2 linked regions of the Drosophila melanogaster genome follow. The protein of the gene in region 1 interacts with the protein of each later gene in a pairwise test. Each region holds a gene or a part of one and is shown in the gene's direction. Other genes may lie near its edges.

Evidence for each region. The genes of interacting proteins can lie anywhere in the genome.
Region 2: the proteins of Cortactin (region 1) and dbo interact in a two-hybrid assay, tested with the Drosophila melanogaster proteins (one large-scale study listed by BioGRID).

The regions. Positions count from the first base shown.
Region 1 is NT_033777.3:21,061,143-21,066,437, reverse strand, and holds Cortactin (cortactin), read left to right. Parts: upstream 1-1,966; 5' UTR 1,967-2,015; exon of another isoform or gene 2,016-2,074; 5' UTR 2,075-2,143; intron 2,144-2,326; exon of another isoform or gene 2,327-2,329; 5' UTR 2,330-2,373; coding exon 2,374-2,540; intron 2,541-2,608; coding exon 2,609-3,012; intron 3,013-3,103; coding exon 3,104-4,212; 3' UTR 4,213-4,758; downstream 4,759-5,295.
Region 2 is NT_037436.4:15,825,138-15,832,541, forward strand, and holds dbo (diablo), read left to right. Parts: upstream 1-1,750; 5' UTR 1,751-1,959; intron 1,960-2,808; 5' UTR 2,809-2,865; coding exon 2,866-2,914; intron 2,915-3,181; coding exon 3,182-3,900; intron 3,901-4,048; coding exon 4,049-4,740; intron 4,741-4,878; coding exon 4,879-5,068; intron 5,069-5,133; coding exon 5,134-5,355; 3' UTR 5,356-5,441; coding exon of another isoform or gene 5,442-5,466; 3' UTR 5,467-6,867; downstream 6,868-7,404. Other genes in the region: DCP2 (decapping protein 2), read right to left, coding at 334-442; CG12713 (uncharacterized protein), read left to right, coding at 7,391-7,404. UniProt on the Drosophila melanogaster protein: Probable substrate-specific adapter of an E3 ubiquitin-protein ligase complex which mediates the ubiquitination and subsequent proteasomal degradation of target proteins. May have a role in synapse differentiation and growth.

The DNA.
Region 1 (5,295 bases):
TGAGAATAATGTAATCAATAATAATTGGTTAGACTCTCTAAATATTGATTGGAGTTCTCCGTAATAGTTTGACCTCAATGTAGAAAACACATTTGTGTTTGAAAACACCCTTAATTACAATTCTTTTGTTTCATTATAAAAAGTGGTTGGGGTCTGGAAAAAACAAGATTGATAGATATGCTTTAGCATAGCGTATCTGGTAATGTTGTTCTTGAAATAGACTGATGATACATTGAAATTACAGCACTCAGTGATTCACCAGATTTGTGACGTCAATTTTAAGCTCTGAGCACGACTTTAAAAAAGAGATATTATAATATAGGTGTAAAAACTGGAATAGCTCGTGACCATGTGTGAAAAACTCCATAAACAAAAGCTTTTGCCAACTTCTTTTGGAGACCTCGATGGACTGTACCTCGAAATGTTTCAAAAATGTTTTGCAAATGCACTGAGCAATTCACTTAGTAATAAACCTTGATGACACACCTATTCTACTATAATTGCACGGCCTCGAGTACACTACTACTATATTTTGTGGACGGTGGAATGTGGCCACATCCGATTCCGGTGAGTAATGCTGAGCAAGGCACAGGCGCTCATACACAGTGCTTACTGTAGTTTGAAGTGCCTGTCGGGCAATTGAAGTTGATTGAATTACTAAATTAAGCAGGGCACTGGGGGATAGAGATATTTCGAAAAATTCCGCTTCTCATTCCTACGTAAAATGGGAAAGCAAGAAAGGAACAGAAAAGTTTACTTAGATTTCGTCGGAGATGAGAAAAGTCACACGCGTCGCGAGAGAAAACGCCAAAAGAGTGGGGCTTTTGCTTTTGAGTTTGATGATGTCATCTTTCGGTTTTGAATTTTTCTCCCACCCGAGGCTTTTATTATTGAAATATAAAGTAAATAGAGAAACAAGATTCTGGAGAATTCTCGCGATACCGCACCCACAACTAGAATTCTACAAAATGCCCATTTTGGAATGGCACAAATGAAAATTATCTTTGAGTGTTTAGCACACACTTTCTTTTCTCACTTTTCCGACTGATTTTCCGCTTGATTTTTTGCGATTTCTGGCACAGCGAGAGTAAACAATGAGTTTTATCTACAAATTCCTTTTGATTTACCAATGATATTCGATTTTCAACGTACAAGTCAGACGATGCGAACTGCAAGCGATGTGAATAAATACCATAGCTGTTTGCGCTCCGTCTTTGGCTTTTATACTCGCGCTCTCTCGCTGGAAGTCGATTAGAGATGAACCAACCGGCGATAGGTTGTTGTTGCTAGGAAATATTCGGTGGTAGCGCCTAACTGGAAGCTGGTATCTTCTGCGTCGTCATAGTATACACCGTAGAATCTAAAGTGTTCCGAGATGGATGAATCATCGGCATTGGAAGCTGTTGAGACATTCATGATATTTCCGTTGTGATAATGACGACATTGGGAAAATAAGATCTGATTACGCATTGAATTTCAAAATGTAACCTTTGACTTCAATATTCAGCCGTTAGGGCAATACAGTTAAATAAATATCCTGTTCCTTCCTAAGCCGTTTTATAACTATTTTTATTTGTATTTTTATAACTATATATAAAAACCAATTACGTTAATTGTCAGCCGACATCGAAGCAAATTCAAATCCAAAACTATCGATATATCGATGATATGTTTGCGGTTATATGAAAAAAGTCAACTCTTATACCTGTTAATTACCGTTCTGGCAGAATCTTATTAATTATACAAATTACTATGGCGCCACTTGGTATAACATCAAATACCTTTTGCCCGAGCACTCAGTTCTATTGATCACGATCACATATATTGGTACTGCAGTATATATCGGTGCATTGACTTATCGAATAAAGTAAAAGAACCACGACTGTATCTCTTAATCATTTAAATTGGGCGCCCCTAAAACTGCAGCAACTACCTTTTGTCAAGCTCATCACAATAATTTATCGGCTTTTCGTAGCATATCGATGCATCCATTGTATCGAATGAAATTTAGTTCAGTTAGTTTCCCGTTTGTTGGTCTCTTTATGAATCAATTGTTTAACCCTTCTCCTCCCAGAAATTTGCAGACATCCCTAGCGGCATCAGATCATAAGTTCCTCTTGCAGTAGGAGTTAGTCATCGGGATGTGAGTATACATATGAACATAGAGCGCCAGTGGCATCTTGTTCCCGATCCGGCTTTGTCGGCCCCTCCCTTCTTCGGTGTTTTGTGACTTGTTATCTGGGCCACGAATCGGAAGCGGAGCCCCTGCAACTGAAAACCTGCCCCGACTACTCACACTCGTCATGGTGTTTATCTATCTACCCAGCAGATAAGGATAAGCGAGTAACCAGCGACCAGAAACCGGTAAAAAGAATGTGGAAGGCAAGTGCCGGTCACCAGATTCAGGCCACCAGTGCAGCCTCCGCGGAGGACGACGACTGGGAGACGGATCCGGACTTCGTGAACGATGTCAGTGAGCAGGAGCAGCGCTGGGGATCAAAGACGATCGACGGCAGCGGTCGCACAGCAGGCACCATCGAGTGAGTCATCCGAAATTCTCGAAACACTGGGTATCGGGTTCATTGTTCCCTTTCTTTATTCTTTTTAGCATGGACAAGCTGCGCGAGGAGACGGAGCAGGCCGATCTGGACAAGAAGAAGCAGCTGCTGAAGGATCAGAACGCAGGATACGGATACGGGGGCAAGTTTGGCGTTGAGAAGGACCGCATGGACAAGTCGGCTGTGGGTCATGACTACCAGGGCAAGGTGGGAAAGCACGCCTCGCAGAAGGACTACAGCGATGGTTTTGGGGGAAAGTTCGGAGTGCAAGAGGATCGCAAGGACAAGTCTGCCGTGGGCTGGGACCACGTCGAAAAGGTCGAGAAGCACGCCTCCCAGAAGGATTACGCCACCGGCTTCGGAGGCAAATTTGGAGTGCAGTCCGATCGGGTGGATAAATCCGCCGTGGGCTGGGATCACATCGAGAAGGTGGAGAAGCACGAGTCTCAGAAGGGTAAGTTACCTAACGGAAATGAATTTCTCATTGATTTTTTCTTAGTATGTTCATGTCTGATTATTTTATTTATATCTTCTCCCAACATAAGATTACTCCAAGGGCTTTGGCGGCAAGTTTGGCGTTCAGGAGGACCGAAAGGACAAGTCCGCGGTGGGATGGGACCACAAAGAGGCTCCGCAGAAGCACGCCAGCCAGGTGGACCACAAGGTCAAGCCAGTCATCGAAGGTGCCAAGCCTTCCAATTTGCGTGCCAAGTTCGAGAATCTGGCTAAAAACTCCGAGGAGGAGTCACGTAAGCGGGCCGAGGAACAGAAACGTCTCCGTGAGGCCAAGGACAAGCGGGATCGGGAGGAAGCCGCCAAGAAGACTGTGGCCGAGAACACTCCTCGTACCTCGACGGAAGCACCGCCTCCAAAGGGCAGCAGGGCGGCCATCCAGACAGGTCGGACCGGTGGCATTGGCAATGCTATCAGTGCATTTAACCAGATGCAGTCGCCTGTTTCTGAAACCCCTCCAGCACGAAAGGAACCCATTATCATTCCCAAGGCGCAGCCTGTTAAAATAGAATTAGAAGCAAAGGAGGAGCCAACGGCAAGTACAACATCAGCTGCGGTTGCTCCTACTCCGACAGTGGTCCCCGCTCGAGAGCCGGAAACAGCTCCAGTGGCCAAGGCTGCAGCTCCACCACCAGATGTGGTGCCCCAAATTGAGGTTGAGACCGTGGACACGCCTCCCAGAAGTGAGCCGCAATCACCAGTGTATGTGCCGACGCCTCAACCCGAAGTCCACGCCCAAGTCCAAGTCCAACCTGAGCCGCAACCTCAAGCCGATCCTGAGCCAGTAGTTGAAGAAGAGCCACTGTACCAGAACCAGGCCGAGATTAAGGCTGCCTCGCCCTTGCCACCAACGAATGGAACCGTTTCAGAGGCTGTTGCTCCGAGTGGCACCGCAACCGTTCCCGAGGAGGCAATCTACGCGAACTCAGACAATTTGGCCGACTATCTGGAGGACACCGGAATCCACGCCATTGCCCTGTACGACTACCAGGCGGCGGATGACGACGAGATATCCTTTGATCCAGATGACGTGATCACCCACATCGAGAAGATCGACGATGGGTGGTGGAGGGGATTGTGCAAGAACCGCTACGGACTCTTTCCAGCCAACTACGTGCAGGTGGTGGGACAGAACTCATAAAAGCTTCCAATTGAAATTCACGATAGAACAAAATCAAATTGTATTTACATACTAACGAAAACGATAATACTGATGTTGGATTATAAACCATATAAACCAATTCGCAACTAACCCAGCCCATTTCCCATCCATTGTTTACCCTCTTAACCCTCCAAATTATGTGCAACGAATGGCTAGATATTGAATTATTATTGTAATTTGTTATGCTAGCACTTAAAGTAACCGTGGTATTCCATTTTTGATATATGTATCATTTATTGCATTTTACATTCTTTGTATTTAACACATTTATTTTACCAAGAAAATATGCCAAGCTATTTTAGATATCTCTCATTTCATATTTTATGCATTAGTTATGATATTTGTGTCAAGTAACGATTTTGGTTTTTTTGAATTGTATAAAGTCTACGAGAGTTTCCCGTGTCAGGTGATCTGATCTAATGTTAAAGACGGATCTAATGTTGAAGACAGTCACAAACAAAAAGTCTGCTCTTTTGATAAAGAAATACATAATTAATAAAGTTAAATAATAACGAGTTCTCTCTTAAATTGTGGTACTGATAGTTCGGGTGTTTTTGTTTTTTTTTAAGGCCTAACAAATCATTTTACTAAGTAAAATGATTTCATTGGATACGGGAATTCACAAATTTCTATAAGAAGATAAGAACGAGCATATTGTTGGGTTCCTTCTAATATCACGAGGATATCTCTATTTTGGGGTAGAACTGTCAAGGCCTTTCTTGGATGGGCCGAATTCTTATCTGCCTGTTCCGAACGCATCGTAATCTGGCAAAGTAGAAATTGTTACATGAAACGAGCTACTGACATGATTCATGGTGCAAATGTGAGTGCATATGGGCTCAACAAAGAAAGAGTACTTTGCATTGTGGTGATTAATTAGTTAAAAAACATACATAAGTAGGATGTACGGCCATATTGTAAATTTGAGCGCCAATCCCAAAAAGACTTGATAAGATTTATCGCAATTATTGGCGACGGATCGTAATCGAAAAAAGTGTCAGACGAAATCAAAGTTTTGACTGATAAAGTTGATGTATAAATTAAACTTCAAGGAGGTATTAC
Region 2 (7,404 bases), on another chromosome or scaffold:
CAAATGGATATATTTTGATTAAAGCCAAATACTTAAGTCCTTGTGTTTGTATTTATTTTTGTATGATTGCAATATTCTGACTATATTTTATATAGATTATGAATTGCTGGGTGGGAGATATTCTGATTGTCTAATTCGCTTTTGATTATAAAGGATTTTGAAACATAATAATCATATAATATGGATAGAACGTGAAGTTCTTTAACGAGAAAGTGTGACTCTTTCGAGCACGTACTACACTTTATGCTTTGTATTTACATATATTTTATTATTTTTATAGTTTATTATGAACCCACTGGAAGTGTACCGCTTATCATCTAGAGACCCGCCTACCGTTATCATCCTTGCTGCTACTGCCGACGCTAGCAGAGGCAGAGACGGCGGCAGAGGCAGAGGCTGTGACGACAGCGACGGCGTTATTGATCAGTGGTGCGATTTCCATAATATTTATTTAGATATCGGAGCTCCGTTTGTTTATGTAATACACTTTATTGGCTTTACTTTTTGTGTTTGTCTTTTTCGCAAAATATTTTTGTTTGTTTGTTAATTCACATTCGCGTCTCTCTCTGTCTGCACCAGTCTTTCGATACGCTTGTGTGTTTATGTGTGAGAGAGCGCAACTGTGTGTATGTGTGTGAGAGAGCGCAACTGTGTGTGGGTGTACGAATGTGAGTATGTGTGTGTAAGCGTTTTGTCACGTATTTTTACAACGGCGTTGCTTTTGTAGTAAATATGGCTGCCAAGTTTCGAAAATTTCTGCAATCGTCCGCTTTTGTCGCACGAATTTAAATTTCCAATGCAATTTTTGTACTTGTACTCTAGTTATTCCATCGGTTGCATTACATCCTTTTGCTATTGTTCTCTCGATTTTCGCTCTCTTTCCCTCAACATGTTTTGCATTTGCATTTAATTCTGTTGTTGCTATTGCTGTTTTTGTTGCTGTGTCGTCGTTTTTGTTATTGCTATAGTCGTTGTCGTTTTTGTTGTTTGTGTTCCACTCCATCCACAAAATAATTGAGTGCGCTCCACTTTGGTGCGAGGGAGACGGAAAATTCTTCGCACGCACACAGTCTCACGTTTTTCCGTTTTCTTTTCTCGCCCAGTTCACGTACTTTCCACTTTCCAATCTCAAATTATTATTTGCTCACCGAACTTTTTCGCGATCTAAATTGCCTTTATTTACACGTTGCACTTAAAATTAGCTACTATTTTGCACTATTTAACGGGCTTTTCAACTGCTCAAAACTCGCCTTCCTCTTCAGCGTCGCGTATAGAAATAGTATGAAATAAAAAATACCAGCATGCTGCTCACTAAGATACCAAAATATACCGTTTCTTTAGCGACCAGGGAAGCCAAATACAGTTGGCTCTGTGATAAATGTACTCTTACAAAGCCTGTCTTACGTTATTTGCTTATTTTTTCGGGAATATTAAAAGACAGTTTACTAATGAAAATTTTAAGAGATTATTATAATGATTTCAATAATTCACAGTTAGATTCCCTTCCGTTGCACTTACTTGTAGTTGTATACAAATAGTGTTTATTTTATTTTTAATTATTTAAAAATATGTGATCTCTTATTTTAATTTCGAAAAAAAATGTGAAGAGATATTTCAAACAGATCTCCTTAAAATTAGCTTACGTTTACGATTTAATAACAATATCGATATAACGAAATGTCCACCAAAGTATCACAATATAAATAAGTGTATTCTCAAAAATATCGATACACTGATATTGTTATGCATTTCTCACATCTCTATCGCCATACCAATCGTTTCGTGTTTCGACTTTTCCAGGCCAACCAAAAAACGATTTTTCCGTACTGAAAAGTGCAATTCGCGCAAGGAAAATCTTCGATGTGGTCCTTTTAAGCCATCAAGATTGCATTTTCGAAATTTTCCGCCTGCAGCTGGCCCTGGACGTGCTTTGTATCCGTAGAGAACAGAGACGCAAAGGTTGGGACACCAACATATACATCGAAATCTAAACCAACATCATCCGCGTGTGTGTGTGTGTGGTGTGTGCTTGTGGGTGGACCAGGTTACCTTTCAGTTTTAAGGTGTTCCATGGAGTGAATGTTGTAAAAGCGATTGAACATATATCACATGAATAAAAGAGATTTCAGTTTTAATTAAATTAGGTTGAAGATAATTCCACAAGCATATTATTGAACTAGAGAACTGTTTATCTTAACCATCGATTAACTCAACCTGCCAATTTGTTTACCAATTAAAGTACATGTTTTAATTTTAAAACTTAGCTATTTTAAGATTCAAAACAGAAGTTTCAAGTAACGATCTTTTAGCTTAAAGTTTCTAAATATTTAAGGATTATTAATATTTATTTTATATCATTTATACGAATGGTGGATTGTTAAACTTAACGTGTTGAATGAATACCTTAAATAACACTCGTATTAGTGTTAAGATGTTTCTTTAGTCGAAAGGTCCACCTTAGTATCCGCAGATCCGAAGTTGTGAATGTGTGCGTGTTACACAGCATGTCTGTGTGTGGGTGGTGCAAAAGGGCGGAGGACAAGAAAAATAAATCAGAATTTCCACATCCAGTGCCCAGAATATGAATTATTTGCATCAAAAATGTACAATTACTTAATTTATTAAGTAAACAGTCGCTTCAAGAAGATATTAAACGAAGCACAATGTCCTTGTAAATTGATTAGTTACTTACTTACTTATAATCGAGTTCAATGCCGCCCTTCTACGCCCTACCTACGCATTGATTTAATTTACTTTGACTTGACCATTAATCACTATTCTACTATATACTACCATTTCTGCCCACAGATAGACGCCGTGTGGGGTTGGGTTGCTTCCGGCCCGCTGCGCTTAGCAGCGAACAGAATGGGCGACCTGCCGGGCTCGGGCTCCACCGCTCAACCACGGGATGCTGGTAAGGATTTGATAGGAGCTTGGTTTGGAATTGGGAAGAGAGCAAGCCAGGGGCAACCTGTGTGCCTCATGTGACTTTAAATACTTCATATTTGTTCGTAAGACTATGATCTTTCAGCTAAAAAATACTATTAGAAAAGGTTTTTCCTTCATAAAAAAGTATTTGAACTCTCATTCACAATTCCAATTAATCGGTACCATTAAGTTTATTTGTACTATTCCAAACATATGGTATTTTTATACTCAAAATCATTATGTATGCCAACAGCTGTCACCGGTACCGGTGGTAATTCCACGGCTGGTGGCGGCTCCTCCGTTGGATCTACGGCAGTGGACCGACCTCCGTCGCCCGCCCGCCTCTCTCACACGTCCGAGAAACATCCGAAGGTCACGCTCACTGAACTAAATATGCTACGGCGCCATCGGGAGCTCTGCGATGTGGTGCTCAACGTGGGCGGACGGAAGATCTTTGCCCACCGGGTAATCCTGTCCGCCTGCAGCTCCTACTTCTGTGCCATGTTCACTGGCGAATTGGAGGAATCGCGCCAGACTGAGGTCACCATACGCGACATCGATGAGAATGCCATGGAGCTGCTCATCGACTTTTGTTACACCGCCCACATAATCGTCGAGGAGTCGAATGTCCAGACCCTCCTTCCCGCCGCCTGCCTGCTTCAACTGGTTGAGATTCAGGACATCTGCTGCGAGTTCCTCAAACGGCAATTGGATCCCACCAACTGCCTGGGCATACGCGCCTTTGCCGACACACACTCCTGCCGGGAACTTCTACGGATCGCCGACAAATTCACGCAGCACAACTTCCAGGAGGTGATGGAGAGCGAGGAGTTTCTGCTGCTCCCCGTCGGCCAGCTGGTGGACATCATTTGCAGCGACGAGCTAAACGTGCGCTCCGAGGAGCAGGTCTTCAACGCGGTCATGTCCTGGCTCAAGTACAATGTCGCCGAGCGGCGACAACATCTGGCACAGGTGAGCTACTGTAAACCATATCTGATTACTACTCACCGATTCCTACTTGTTCCGTTTGATAATTACTTTGGAATAATATAAACAGCTCAATTTTTAAGTATTGCAACTAATAAATAAATAATGAATTGATATTTTCGAATATTCTCAGGTGCTCCAACACGTCCGTCTGCCTCTGCTGTCGCCAAAGTTCCTGGTTGGCACGGTGGGCTCTGATCTCCTGGTGCGCAGCGACGAGGCCTGCCGGGATTTGGTGGATGAGGCTAAGAACTATCTGTTGCTTCCGCAGGAGCGACCGCTGATGCAGGGTCCACGCACCAGACCGCGAAAGCCAACTCGACGAGGCGAAGTCCTGTTCGCCGTGGGCGGTTGGTGTTCCGGCGATGCTATTGCCTCCGTGGAGCGTTTCGATCCTCAGACCAACGACTGGAAAATGGTCGCTCCCATGAGCAAACGACGCTGCGGAGTTGGCGTGGCCGTGTTAAATGATCTACTTTACGCCGTGGGCGGTCACGATGGCCAGAGCTATCTGAATAGCATCGAGCGTTATGATCCACAAACGAATCAATGGTCCTGCGACGTTGCGCCCACCACTTCCTGCCGCACCAGCGTCGGCGTGGCTGTGCTCGACGGCTTCTTGTACGCGGTGGGTGGCCAGGATGGCGTTCAATGTTTGAACCACGTGGAGCGCTACGATCCAAAAGAGAACAAATGGTCGAAAGTGGCACCGATGACAACAAGGCGACTGGGAGTGGCGGTAGCCGTGCTTGGAGGATTTCTCTACGCAATTGGCGGCTCCGATGGACAGTGCCCGTTGAACACCGTAGAGCGATATGATCCCAGGTAAATCATAAATAAAGCATTTAAAAGCTTTAGACGTACAAGTACATTTTCTATCGCTTGTAACAAATGACCTTAATGTACATTGCACTTGAACGTAGTATTTGTTTGATTTACATTGCCCCGATTTTATCATTACAGACACAACAAATGGGTAGCAGTCAGCCCGATGTCAACGCGACGCAAGCACCTGGGCTGTGCTGTGTTCAATAACTACATTTACGCCGTCGGCGGGCGAGACGATTGCATGGAGCTCTCGTCCGCCGAGCGCTACAATCCACTGACCAATACCTGGAGCCCCATCGTGGCCATGACCTCCCGCCGCAGTGGGGTGAGTTTTTGTTACACTTTTTCTCGGCGAATAGTATTGTATTAAATGAAATCGCACCATTTTAGGTTGGCCTGGCCGTCGTCAATGGACAGCTGTATGCTGTGGGCGGCTTTGATGGTTCCGCCTATTTGAAAACCATCGAGGTCTACGACCCAGAGACGAACCAATGGCGTTTGTGCGGCTGCATGAACTACCGCCGACTGGGCGGCGGCGTGGGCGTTATGCGTGCCCCTCAGACTGAGAACTATATGTGGTGCGAAAATAGTTTTAAGCAACCGAATTCCTGAAACTAACTCAACTCCCATCCCTTCCATTGCTGATGAAATGTTGTCTTGTCTCTCTTTTCCCCCCGAAAACATGCTAACAAATTCAGGATACGGAAAGATTCTGTTGTCTGATGGGAACAGCAGCCGACAACGTTGCCCTCGCAAACGTTGCCGCCGCCGCACTTCTACTAACAATATCCGCAATCGAAGCCAAATCTAATCGACTAAACAAAACATCTTTTCGCCCCATTGTCTACTAGCAGTGTAATCGCTTTGTATTAATTGTTAATTGTTTATTTGGTAGAGCCTAAAGCGCATGTTTGTTAGACTTTTCCGGAATAGTATTAGAGTTAGCATTGTTCCCACGTTCACCTGCAATAACACATCCCCATCACTCCTGTGCGTAATTATATATGATTCTACTGTATGTTAAGCAAGTATATTTTATAAATAACTTAATATCTAAATGTTGCCGGTGGTATTTCATGGAAATCGCTAGCTCATAACCATGCCTTCTTTCGAAAAAAACAAAACAAAATCAAATATTAACCTAGAAACGAATTCGATTAGTTGTAAATCCTTAAACGAAGAGCTCTAAAGTCAAGTAACAAATTGGTATTAAAATAATTTAGATTTAAGGAGTGAATTCAAGAAAGTTTGTCCGAAATTAAACATCACAATGGTGCAATATTTCGATCGACCAACTAAACGCTGTTGTTTAGTCAAGTACACTTTAAATCTTTGCAAACGTCTTCAATAATACCACGACTATATGAAGTGAACCGAATAATTGCAAAGAATTTAAAAAAATAATGAATATTCAGCCTGTCAAGCTTAAAAAAAAACCATTAAGGTAATCACACACACACACAATGAAGAAGTTAGACCTAGCCCAAGATAATTCAATAGTAACAATTAACAATTACGCAGCCGTAAGATCAACTTTAAGGTAATAAATTTTAATATTGTTAATCCTAGATCGTGTAAACCGGTAAGAGTTTTCGGCCGGAATCAGGTCAAGTTTTAAGATGACTTATTGTTAAACCAAGTTTGACCATCGAGCTGAATGAACCAACTCGAATTAATCGCTTAGATAAGGGAGTTAAAACACAAGTAGACTCTCAATAACAACACATTTTCTTTGTTGCCTTTTACACCAACACTATTAAACAATTATTTATTCAAAATTATTATTTATTACACGCTTTCGTATCTCATTTAGTTTATTTTAGGTGCACATTTATAAACTGTTGTTAAATCGAGCAAAAAGGAATGATCTTTGCTTCCAAATGATGAATAAGAATAGCATTTATAAAAAACCAAGCTTATTTATATTATAGCTTTAAGTCAAAATGGTCAACAATTATACAAAAATTCGCATACCACCCATTATGCGTAGTTAAAAAATAACATTTCCTAGTTGTGTTGAGTGGTAAAAGTGCTTAACGCAAATAATAGAAGTGTTAACCTAAGAAATGATCGTAAACCCGTGCTATGTATAAGAATATATAAAAATAAAAATATATCAAAATTAAGACACTTTGTTTCATTCAATACATTACAGCCAAGGGCGGAAATTGCTGCCAAAAAATAATTAAAAATAAATATCCAAGTGTACTATTTTGTATTATATTCTATAATTTATAAATTTGTAATGCAATCAATGTACCGTTACGCGGTACTGGTACGCATCGGTACAATAGTTACGATATTGGATCCTTTACCGATAGCCGATGCTCGAACCCGATTGTTTTTGTTTTAGGCCTTAATTCGCACACACTGATTTGGTGGCACTACACACATTTTGTTATTTTAAACATTTTTCAAGAAGTCAATATTATGATAACAATTTTATGAAAATAATTGAACTAAATGCATTCGGAACATTTCGATATACACTGCCGACCAGTGTGAACGCTTCGCGACGTGGAGAAACTTCAGGCACGTCAGCTATCGATAAATTAAAATGTGTATTCGATTAGCGTACGTTAAACAGCTGTTTATTCTGGCGCTCTTTCATACGTTCGCTGAAATAGTTTTGTATTTCTGGCCGGAAATGATGTCCCAAAT